3 linked regions of the Xenopus tropicalis genome follow. The protein of the gene in region 3 interacts with the protein of the main gene of each other region in a pairwise test. Links are inferred from orthologs where the notes say so. Each region holds a gene or a part of one and is shown on either strand. Other genes may lie near its edges.

Region 1 (2,438 bases), on a different chromosome or scaffold from region 3:
TTCATATTGATTTTGTCCTTGTACTGTTTAAAATGCCAGGAGTTTATTGAAGAGATACTCGCTCCATCATTTGGAGGAATGATTGCATTTGTCAAGGAGTCAGAATCTCTAATTGAGAAGGGACAGCAGGAACGACTCAGAAGTGAAGAGGGTACAGGATGTTTGTATTTTAACAAGTCTTACTATTTGTTTTTATTGTCACTCACTGCATAAAGTAACGGTCTGAATTTCTTGTAGCACGTGTTGCTCAGCTTGTACGGGGGTTCTCATCAACATGGAAACAAGCAGTGGAGAATCTGAGTCAGGATGTTATGAGGTCATTTACCAACTTTAAGAATGGAACTAGCATTATACAAGTAAGGGAATTAGGAAGGGCTATTTAAGAGAGACCTTTATTTGGGTTCTTCCTTTTATTCTAACTCTCTCCATTTTTACAGGGTGCATTAACACAGCTGATCCAGTATTATCACCGCTTCCATAAGATACTCTCCCAGCCGCCACTCAGGAATCTGCCTGTATGCTCAGAATTAATAAACCTGCATCACCTAATGGTTGAGCTCAAAAAACATAAGCCTAATTTCTGAACCCAAGAAGGTAGAAGTAGGAAGTATCATAAAACTGATTCTGTTACCTGTGTATATAACACTAATCTGAGATGCATCAAGTGATGTAAATTTCTTAACAATGAAAGAGCAAGTGCTTTTGCCTTGCTAAGTCAGTAAGATACCTGTACCAACAGGTAAACAGGTAGCTCCACCAAATGTTTGAGTTTAAATATATTTAATGGCATTCTCTTCCTATGCTTAACTATTGCTTGTAAAATCATGCCAGAACTAAATGTATGGGTAAAATAAAGTTTACTACTGGTAACAAATCTTGGATAAATATGTATAGTTTTATGTAGTCTCACAGCATGAAGAAAATGTATAATTTCCTGTGCAGTCATTTGAATGTTATTGCAGCTTATCCATTCCCCGGGGACAGTGAGGTGCTAATGAGCAATAGCTGAAACAGGCCTGTGCAGATTGAGAACACTAGCTTAGCTAGTAGAAAGTACAGGGGTAATACATTCTAAATGCATAGGGGTTTTAATGTAAAATGCCACAACTTAAAGGAAGATGCAGTTGCAAGTCCTTTGTGGACACGATAACACATTCGTTGTAAAGGAGTTATGTTCTTTACTAGAAGCAATAACAGACAAGGGTTCCAAAGTGCTATGGCTACATTTTTATACCTGTATATATATATCTACACACATCTTTGTTTTAAATTATCCACACAGTTTAAGCAAAAATAGATACAAACCAGTATTAAAAGCCACATTTACTAAAATGTTACAAAAGAAAACGTTGCTCTGTGTCAAGAGCAATTAACATACAATACAAAGATTTAGAGTTCCCTCCATCGCTTTCTATTAACATTTAAGTGCAAGTAAGGCTTAAGAGAAACATCTGAGACCCAATTATGTAGCTTATGTTTGAGATAGTTCCAATAAGCCTATAAAGACACCAGAGCACTCTCTCTGCCAGTCAATATGTATGTCACAAGAAAGTCTTGCAGGCTCTTTAAACACAGTATCTAAACGAAGGCTGTTTTACTACACTGGAATGTTACATGCATGTTATCCAATCCCCACTCTAATAATATATCTTTTAAAAGAGTAAGGAAGAGATCTAAAGTACTAGCCCTCCAACAGCTACCTGTATGGATGTCCATACTGAATGTCATTCTTTTAAAAGAGATTAAAGGACATGTCAACCCCAAAAATAATTTTTTGCTTAATTAAAGAAAACTTAATTCTTAGCAACTTTGCAATATACACGCATTACATATTTGCAATGGGTTTCTAGTTATTTGTATGTATATATATATTTGCTATTAAAAGAACTGTCTGCCTGTCCTTTCTATTATCTGCTCTGGTCGCTCTGGCATTTGAAACAATGTAACAAAACACCAGCAGATTTTACAGACCTGACTTGCTGGAGGAGCCCGGCACTTGCAACATTGTTTAAAAAGTAACAACCAGGAGTTCAGCAAATGCTGCTTTCTATAGAAATTACATTTACTAATAACTTTTAATAAGTTGATATTAAAAAGTTGCTTGGAATTATGTTTTCTTTTATTAGGCAAAAAAATTATTTTTTTAGTAGGAATACCCCTTGTTAAACATGGATGCAATGAATAGGGCTTAAGTTTAACATACTTTTTCTCTATTGTTTTTAATATGGTTTTTGCCCCCTGTTCTATACAGGATAACTGAAACTACTTGTTTGGTCCTTGTAAGGTAGCAGATTACCAGTGTAACAGTACCTTCCTTGCCCCTTTTGACTGTTTTGCCAGCAGGAGTCCATTATACAGAGGATTGTTTGTGTGCTAGTAATTTAATTAAATCCCTAGAAGAACCAACCATGGAGCAGCTTCAGTTTTTCTGTTTGTCC
Region 2 (3,638 bases), on a different chromosome or scaffold from region 3:
TTGACTTTAACGATGGTAAAATGGACAAATGTATGCAAATGGGGACCTTTGAAAAGGGTTTCGCACATTATGATGTACAGAGTATTTTGTTTAACATTTATGAAGCCATTGACTCACAGACTAGTGTTGCTAAGCACAAAAATATAACAACTGGGGCATCTGCAGCATCCCAGTCTCCAGTAACTAGTGGCAAAGCTGGAAATTGTCAGTATCCTCAGGGAAGTAAAGAAGACCCTAACTGTAGCCCAGAAGCAGATGAAGGAGATGGCAAAAGTAGTGACATTGTTCTAAGCTGTCCTTATTTTAGAAATGAGATTGGGGGAGAAGGAGACAGAAGAATTGCACTATCAAGGGCAAACTCTTCTGTGCAAACTGGTGAAAGTTGTTCCTTTGAATCATCTCTCAGCTCTCATTGCACTAATGCTGGTGTGTCTGTATTAGAGGTTCCAAGAGGAAATCAACCTATTCACAGGGAAAAAGTAAAGCGCTATATTATAGAGCATGTAGACCTTGGAGCATACTACTACAGAAAGTATTTCTATGGAAAAGGTATGTTAATTTGCAAAATAATTGTTTTATTTCTATACTGTATATTTCAAAATTAAAATGTGGCTGTCATGTGAGATATATACTTACATAATAACTGGTGTATACACAAGACACATAAATACACCATCCACCACCATCCATTAAATTCAAACTTTTCTGTCCAAATGAAACCCATAACCAGATTCCAAGAGAATCTATTGATGCATAAAGCATCACTATTGCATAGGAATCACATATCCCTTAGTGCCTCTTCTCCTGTGTAAACAGTTCCAACATTTTTAGCCTTTCTTCATAATGGAGACATTATCTATGCAGACAGTATCTGCTAATACAAATGATTCATGGAATAAACTACCCTGATGAGCCAAACTTAGGAGTTGTTGCAGATCATCAAGCAAAAAATGAGGTTTGTCAGTCATATAAGTTGATGCCATGTATGAATCTGAATTACTAATCAGCCTTGTACTTTGACTTTTGTATTCTATATACACAGTATATCCAGTAACTTGTCATCCTTGCCTAGTTGTGCTTCAGTGCCTGCAGTCCTTGCTAGTCCAGCTTCTATGGGTTCTCTGATCTGTCCAATTTCCCCCAGAACTTACAATTGGGTTTTCAGCAATGTACATTTTTTTAATTAGTTGTTACAGTTGTCTCAGATACATTATGTTCACTTTAAAAAACATATTTGCATTGGCAATTAATTATATTTAAACAGTATAATTAAATTAGAGGCTAAAATAAATATAAAGTTATAGTGCATAAGAACCTCATAGAAATACAAACAAAAATATATAGTGAATAAAGTACCACCTATTGTAAAATATAAGCATATTGTAAATCACTGAGGAGTTCCAAGTGCTTTTATAAAAGTGAAACTCTTCTGTAACTTCTAATATCCTCATATTTTATAAACGTGGCTACTACACAAGTTTAAGTGAATCATGTGACAGAAATTACATTACTAACCACCGATTATAACTGATGACATTGCTAAGCACCGTTTATAAGGATATAATTTAAAGGATAATCATGGCTGTATTATAAACAGATAAATATGTTAAAACTGAAAACTTTATGGTTTCCTTCTAATGAGTATATAGTACTTTCTGGGAATAGATTTCTTTGATTTTAACTTTGTTTCCTCTCTTGACCATATAAATATCCTTGTTCTCCCAAACTTTCCTAAAATAGTATACCCTGCCCCATAAATCTATATAAACTCCATGGTTTTTATTTCTTTGAGTCTCTCTATTACTTCTGCTATACTAGGGGATTGGGGTTCTTTTCAGTGACTAAGGATAGTTAGGATGCAGTCATAATACATTTTACCAACCATTGCTCTTTTGAATTTGTATAGTTTACTGGTTTGTACAATAGTGTGTTCCATATATATAAATGTAGATTTCAACCCATAATACTGTTTATTAGGTCCTTTAATTCAGACCAAAAAAATTGCAAATATTTTCACAGTTAAGCATACAAGGTATGAAACGCAAAAAATAAAATTCTATTTTTATATTTACTAATTACTAAATGTACTTGTTCTTTTGTTTATTTTTCACAGATCATTGTGACCATATTCATTAAAAAAAAATTCATGCTGTGAGGACCAGTGGCTATCAGGATAAGTTAGAACAGTCAAGAATGACAATGCTGGTACTGGGAAGCAGTCAAGACAAACAAAGCTAATAGACAAACAAAGCTTGGTAACCAGGATGTTGAGCAGAATTCAAGTCCAAGTTCAGGCACAGGTAGGGCAAGCAGAGTTCAGGATAGCTATATAAAAGGCCATTAGACAAATACTAGGAATACAGAGGAAAATAGCGGAACAGTCCTGATTTTAACAGTTCAGCCGTAGTCCCCCATTTCCCTTTCATCTCCTGCACTGAACGCTACTTAAATAAGTAGCTTTTGACAGATAGCCCAGAAAAGTTAACAAGCCACACCTGCATTTAGGTACAATTGTAACTAATAAGCTAAATAGGTCTCTTGGGGAAACTGAGACTTGCAGCTTAAAGGAGAAGGAAAGGCTAAGTCACTTGGGGGTGCCAAAATGTTAGGCACCCCCAAGTGACTTTAATCACTTACCTTTTACCCTGGGCTGGTGCCCCTGTTAGGAGAAAACCGCACCAGCCTGGGGTAGCTGCGAGCGTGGTCTCCTCTTCCTTCTTCCTTCATCATGCGCTTTTGCATGCGCAGTAGAGTGAAAAGCCGAACTTTAACAAAAAAGTTGGCTTTTCACTCTACTGTGCATGCACCGGTCCAGAAGGAAGAAGGAAGCGCTCGCTACAAGTACGGTTTTCTCCTAACAGGGGTACCAGCCCGGGTTAAAAGGTAAGCGATTAAAGTCACTTGGGGGTGCCTAACATTTTGGCACCCCCAAGTGACTTAGTCTTTCCTTCTCCTTTAAAGGGCAATTTCACATTTTTTATCAAAACAGAAAATGTTAAAACTTTAAATAACCTGCCATATTTTGTAAAATGGGAGTGGTATTTAGGGGGTGTTGTCGCAAAAATAGGCATGGTCAAAAAATTGTTCACTGCGCTACACACACCATTTTTTTTGTCCCTCTTTACATTTTTCAAATGTTGGGAGGTTATAAATACACCTACATATATAAATTATATATACACATACCTATACTAAACTGACTGTAGCTCTTAAGATCACAATAGACTTGTATATTATGCTTGTTCAAGAAGTCATCCCAGCCACTCTTAAAAGCACTAATAGAATCTGTCATCACAACCTTACTGCCCTTAATGTAAAAAAAAAAAAAAAACATTTGCTGCTTTAAAGGGGACCTGTCACCCTAAGAAATAATTCCAGAATGTTTTCAATTGTGTTTGTCAAGCAAAATAAACTTCACTTACACCATATGAATTAGTTTATTTAGCTTTGGAATTCACAGTTGCAGCAAGCAGGCAGGCACCATTTTGTGCACACTGTTATTGAGGCAAGCTTTGCATCCTGTCAAATCTTATTTCTGTGCCAGTATGGGGAGACCTGATGCCCATGTCCATGCACTGGTTACAAAATTAGATTGTGAGAAGGGAGGGGGAATGTAAGCAGTGCAGTAGCATCTAAGA
Region 3 (4,144 bases):
GGGGCCGAAACCTAAAATACTAGCTAAGCCGCGGGCCAAATTTTTTATTAAGATACTTAGTAGTAGAAGGATAGATCCTTCACAGTCACAGCGCAGTCAGGTGATTGGTGCTGCATGGTCAGGCACAGTCACCATGAGCCACATAAAACAGCCAGACGGGCCTTGTGTTTTACACGTGCCCTAAACCCTAAAATCCCAGCAAATCTCAGTAAAGTGATACTGGGTAATGGACATATATCAGGGATCCCAAACTATTTTTAGGTGGTGAGGAGCAGCAGTGAGTTGCTCAGGAGCCACTGTTAAGGGATCACTATTATACATCCTCTCTGGCTCTAGGAGAGTTACTCCAGTTACTCCAAACACTATTAATATTATATTAATATAGTATATACTATTATATTATATTATTATATAACACTATTGCAACCACTTAGCAACACCTAAATGTGTATTTAGTCCTGCTACTGATAAAATGATACAAGTATCAGGTTGAGGTACTGCTATATAGTTTCCAAGTAATAAGCCCACTACTAAATAACTTGTGATTATATAACTGAGACGTGATTGTAATCTTTAGTTTGAAACAGTTTTTCATTTGGCAATAAAGGTTATGTTTTATTTCTTCTAACAGTGTGCCATTAGAACGTAGCTTTCTAATTAAATGGTTTGACTTACAAATACGTTATTAAGCCCCATAAGAAATACGTGGGGCTATCCTAGCATTGTTTTTGCACATATATAGGATATAATAAATAAGATTACCTTGAAATCGCTGTAAAAGATCACAATTGTAATAACTTTATAATTAAAAATGGCTAGATTTCGACGTTTTCACTAACTATGGTTTAAAAGCTATATGCCTTTAACACAAACAGAGCGGTCAAAACGATGCCTATTTAAGGAGCTTTATAGAAAGTCAAGGATAACTTAGCTATAAAGAAAGCATATGGGTTCTCCTCAGAATAAAACATTTTTTTCGATTATACGTCTCATCTTGAGAATGAAATAATTGGTGCGCAGCTCCGGTCCGGACGCCATAATACCCTAAGCTCTGAGCGAAAGCAGACGTGGATCCGTGATGTTGGTTTAACAAAGCCCGCTATATAAATCGCCACATCACCCATTAAATGACCCATCTGGCAAACTGGCGTGTCATTGCTAGCCACTTCGCTTCCTCGTTGTTTTTTTTTTTTTTTTGTAAAAAATAGTGCGCGGAGTATGACATTACAGAGTGATCTCTGCAATATTGCTTTACGGTCTGGCGGAAGGATTTGGACGCGCGGCGCGGGGAGGGTTTAAAGGAGGAAGGAAGCCATTTTGGAGCTTCGAGTAAGAGAAACACACGGAGAGCAAACAAAAACATAATAGTTATACTTATAGTGAGTAATAAACAAAGAGAAACGACGGAAACAAACGGACAACACGACGACGAGGAGTCCGACGTGTCCGAGCCCGGGGTGCGTGTTGGGGAGAGGGGGTGGGGGGATGCGGGAAAGGGGAGATGGCAATTCTTCTGAGGAATGGGGAAGAGATGAGGTAATCTGGGCCCGGTAAACACTGCCGTGGGTTAAAAAGGGATAACGCTGTATAAACTAGATCAGGGGTGTTTTTCTTAGGGTGTTTAAGCTGCTGTTAAACGTAACTTAAAGTATTTACCTGTATGTATTTGCTGGGAGACGTAGGAAATGTTAGATGGAACGCCATCGCAATATATCCCGTTCATTCCGAGCCTGCAACACTGTAATCAACTACATGTTATTAATTTGAATCTTGTTAGGCTCTAGTTTTGGTATAGTTACCAAGTAAATGAGTTTTATGTATTGTATGTGCTGCTGTAATGGCTGCTGCTTTATTAAATCTCCCATGTTCTGGTCATAAGTAGGCCTAGCTTCTACTGATTGGCTGCTGTAGCAGAAAGTTCAGTAGTGATCCTTTGTCTTTGGGAAACTAACTTTATACAAGGTCATGTTTTCTGCTTATTTGCTCTTCTTTATCAGTTATAAGGTTCATTTCTTCATGTAATCTATTAATGAAGTAAAGGGAGCCTACCCAGATGCCAAAGGGATGTAGGATAAGAACACAGCAGATTTAAGGGTTATGTTGGGTTTGAATACATCTGTATGATCTTTCTGTCTTAATATTTATGGGGTAGGTTTATTACTAAATTGCTGTGTGCATTGCAAATAATTTTACATTTAAAATGTTATTTTTGAGCCAATAAATGTATCTCTTTTTGAATTATTGGTGTCTAGACAGAAATATCTGGTCTGAGATTTCTGAGCAGGGTTGGAGGGGGGGTGCAGGGCCCACAGGGGCCCCGCACCCCCAAGCTGTCTCCGCTACATCCCCCACTGGGGCCTCCACCTGACATCCTCCCCTGAGCACGCGTAAGTGAAAGTTACTTTCAACCCACCAGGGGAGGGACACTGGCTGCCAGAGCAGCATCTACAGGGATCGGGTCTGGGCTGGTGCGGCTCACCGGATTTTTGCCCTGGCGACCCAGTCAGACCCTAAGAAAGACTTGGATGTTGAGTGCTGTTCTTATCTTCCGCTGTTCTCTTTTTACCTTCCTATTCTTTTGCTGATTGGTTGCTGGGGGGAAAGGGAGGGGGAGATATCACTCCAGCTTGCAGTAAAGCGAGACTGAAGTTTATCAGAGCACATGGCTTAGGGCACCTAAGCATTAAATAACATTACATTTCAAAATTAAATATTAAAAAAAAATCTGATTTTTCAAAAAAACAATTTCAATGCAGGATTCTGCTGTTGGATTTTGGGGGGAAAAAAAAAAAGTCCCTTCAACTTTGTGTTTGGAGGGAAGAGTTCCCTTTTTTTTTTTTTATATAATTGTAATAGCAATGGCGAGCCTCCTGGAAGTTAGAATTTCGCAGCTCTCTGGCAGAAGTAATCTGCCTAATGTAAATTTCCCCCAAAGAGAGAATTTTATATGGGAACCCTACTGTCAGACCTCTTAATTAACAAAATTCTGATTACATGCAAAATGTTGGGGGGGGGTTTGGACATAGTATTTAATTTTTAAGGTGTGTAATGTCATAAGGTAACTTAGTTTGGTATAGGTTGATGACATTTTGCACATTTGTTGTTAAATCAAAACATATTCCTTGTACTTTGTGTCCTGCATGTCCAGACACATGGCATTGGTGATGCTGGCGACCAGATGGATTGTTGGATCTTTGTGTTTGCGAGAAATGACTTGGCAGTTAAGAATAGTGAAGCGAAGGATATTTGATTGTCTGAACATCTTGATTGTATGTGATGAGAACCCCTGAAGGTGGCCATACATTGGGCAGATTTAAGCTGCCGATTGGATCCTTTAGACTGATTCAGCAGCTTATCTGCACAAGTATGGGACCCTCCATTGGGTCTAACTGACAAATCTGACCAAAAATCATCCAGATGACAATTGGGCAGGCTAGATATTCCTGTGGAATCGAGGACCACATTGGCTCATTGATGCAGTCCTCGCTCTAAACAACAACCCAGTTATAGTTGATCTAGTGACCACTTCAGCCATCCAGTTGAAAGGCAGCTGTAGAACTTTGTTAAAACCTAAACTGCCTATTGTAAATTGCTTTCTGAACTGTAAAAGTCTAACCATCACTGGTTATACGTATCTTGGCCTGTATATTGAACACTATCATGTGGTAAGAGGTAGTCTTGATTTTTGTTTTTTTTGTTAGCCAACCTGCGAAAATGGCTGACCAAGCTCTGACCATATTTTTATATAAATAAGCTGCTGTGTAGAAGCCATCAATCTAGAAAAAGGAGAAAAGGCACAGGTTACATAGCAGAAACTCTGTAGAATACAATTATTATTATTATTTTTTTTTTTTAGAGCTTATCTATAGTCTATGTAACCATTTAGCCCTATGTAGCTTATGCCATTTAGCACTATTTCAATTTGATTTGCTGCCCCCATAGATACACAGTAGCTTTGCTTCAGAAACTGTATGATTCTTTACAAAAACACAAAACTGCCAGTGCAGAGCAGCAGTACATTATATTTTAATTACAGGTGTGGGATCTCTTATCTGGAAACCCGTTATCCAGAAAGTTTCGAATTACGAAAAGACCACCTCCCATAGACTCTATTATAAACAAGCCTATTTGGTTTATATTTAAA

The links.
Region 1: the proteins of ddx6 (region 3) and vps52 interact in binary tests that used the Homo sapiens proteins (3 or more experiments, as listed by UniProt). The two-hybrid records come from large-scale screens. The link is inferred for Xenopus tropicalis from reciprocal best matches to the Homo sapiens genes DDX6 and VPS52.
Region 2: the proteins of ddx6 (region 3) and sipa1l2 interact in binary tests that used the Homo sapiens proteins (3 or more experiments, as listed by UniProt). The two-hybrid records come from large-scale screens. The link is inferred for Xenopus tropicalis from reciprocal best matches to the Homo sapiens genes DDX6 and SIPA1L2.

What each region holds. Positions count from the first base shown.
Region 1 is NC_030684.2:72,052,371-72,054,808, reverse strand, and holds the end of vps52 (vacuolar protein sorting-associated protein 52 homolog), read left to right. Parts: intron 1-39; coding exon 40-151; intron 152-237; coding exon 238-356; intron 357-437; coding exon 438-584; 3' UTR 585-1,807; downstream 1,808-2,438. UniProt on the Homo sapiens protein: Acts as a component of the GARP complex that is involved in retrograde transport from early and late endosomes to the trans-Golgi network (TGN).
Region 2 is NC_030681.2:57,792,475-57,796,112, forward strand, and holds part of sipa1l2 (signal-induced proliferation-associated 1-like protein 2), read left to right. Parts: coding exon 1-549; intron 550-3,638.
Region 3 is NC_030683.2:80,853,900-80,858,043, reverse strand, and holds the start of ddx6 (probable ATP-dependent RNA helicase ddx6), read left to right. Parts: upstream 1-1,300; 5' UTR 1,301-1,457; intron 1,458-4,144.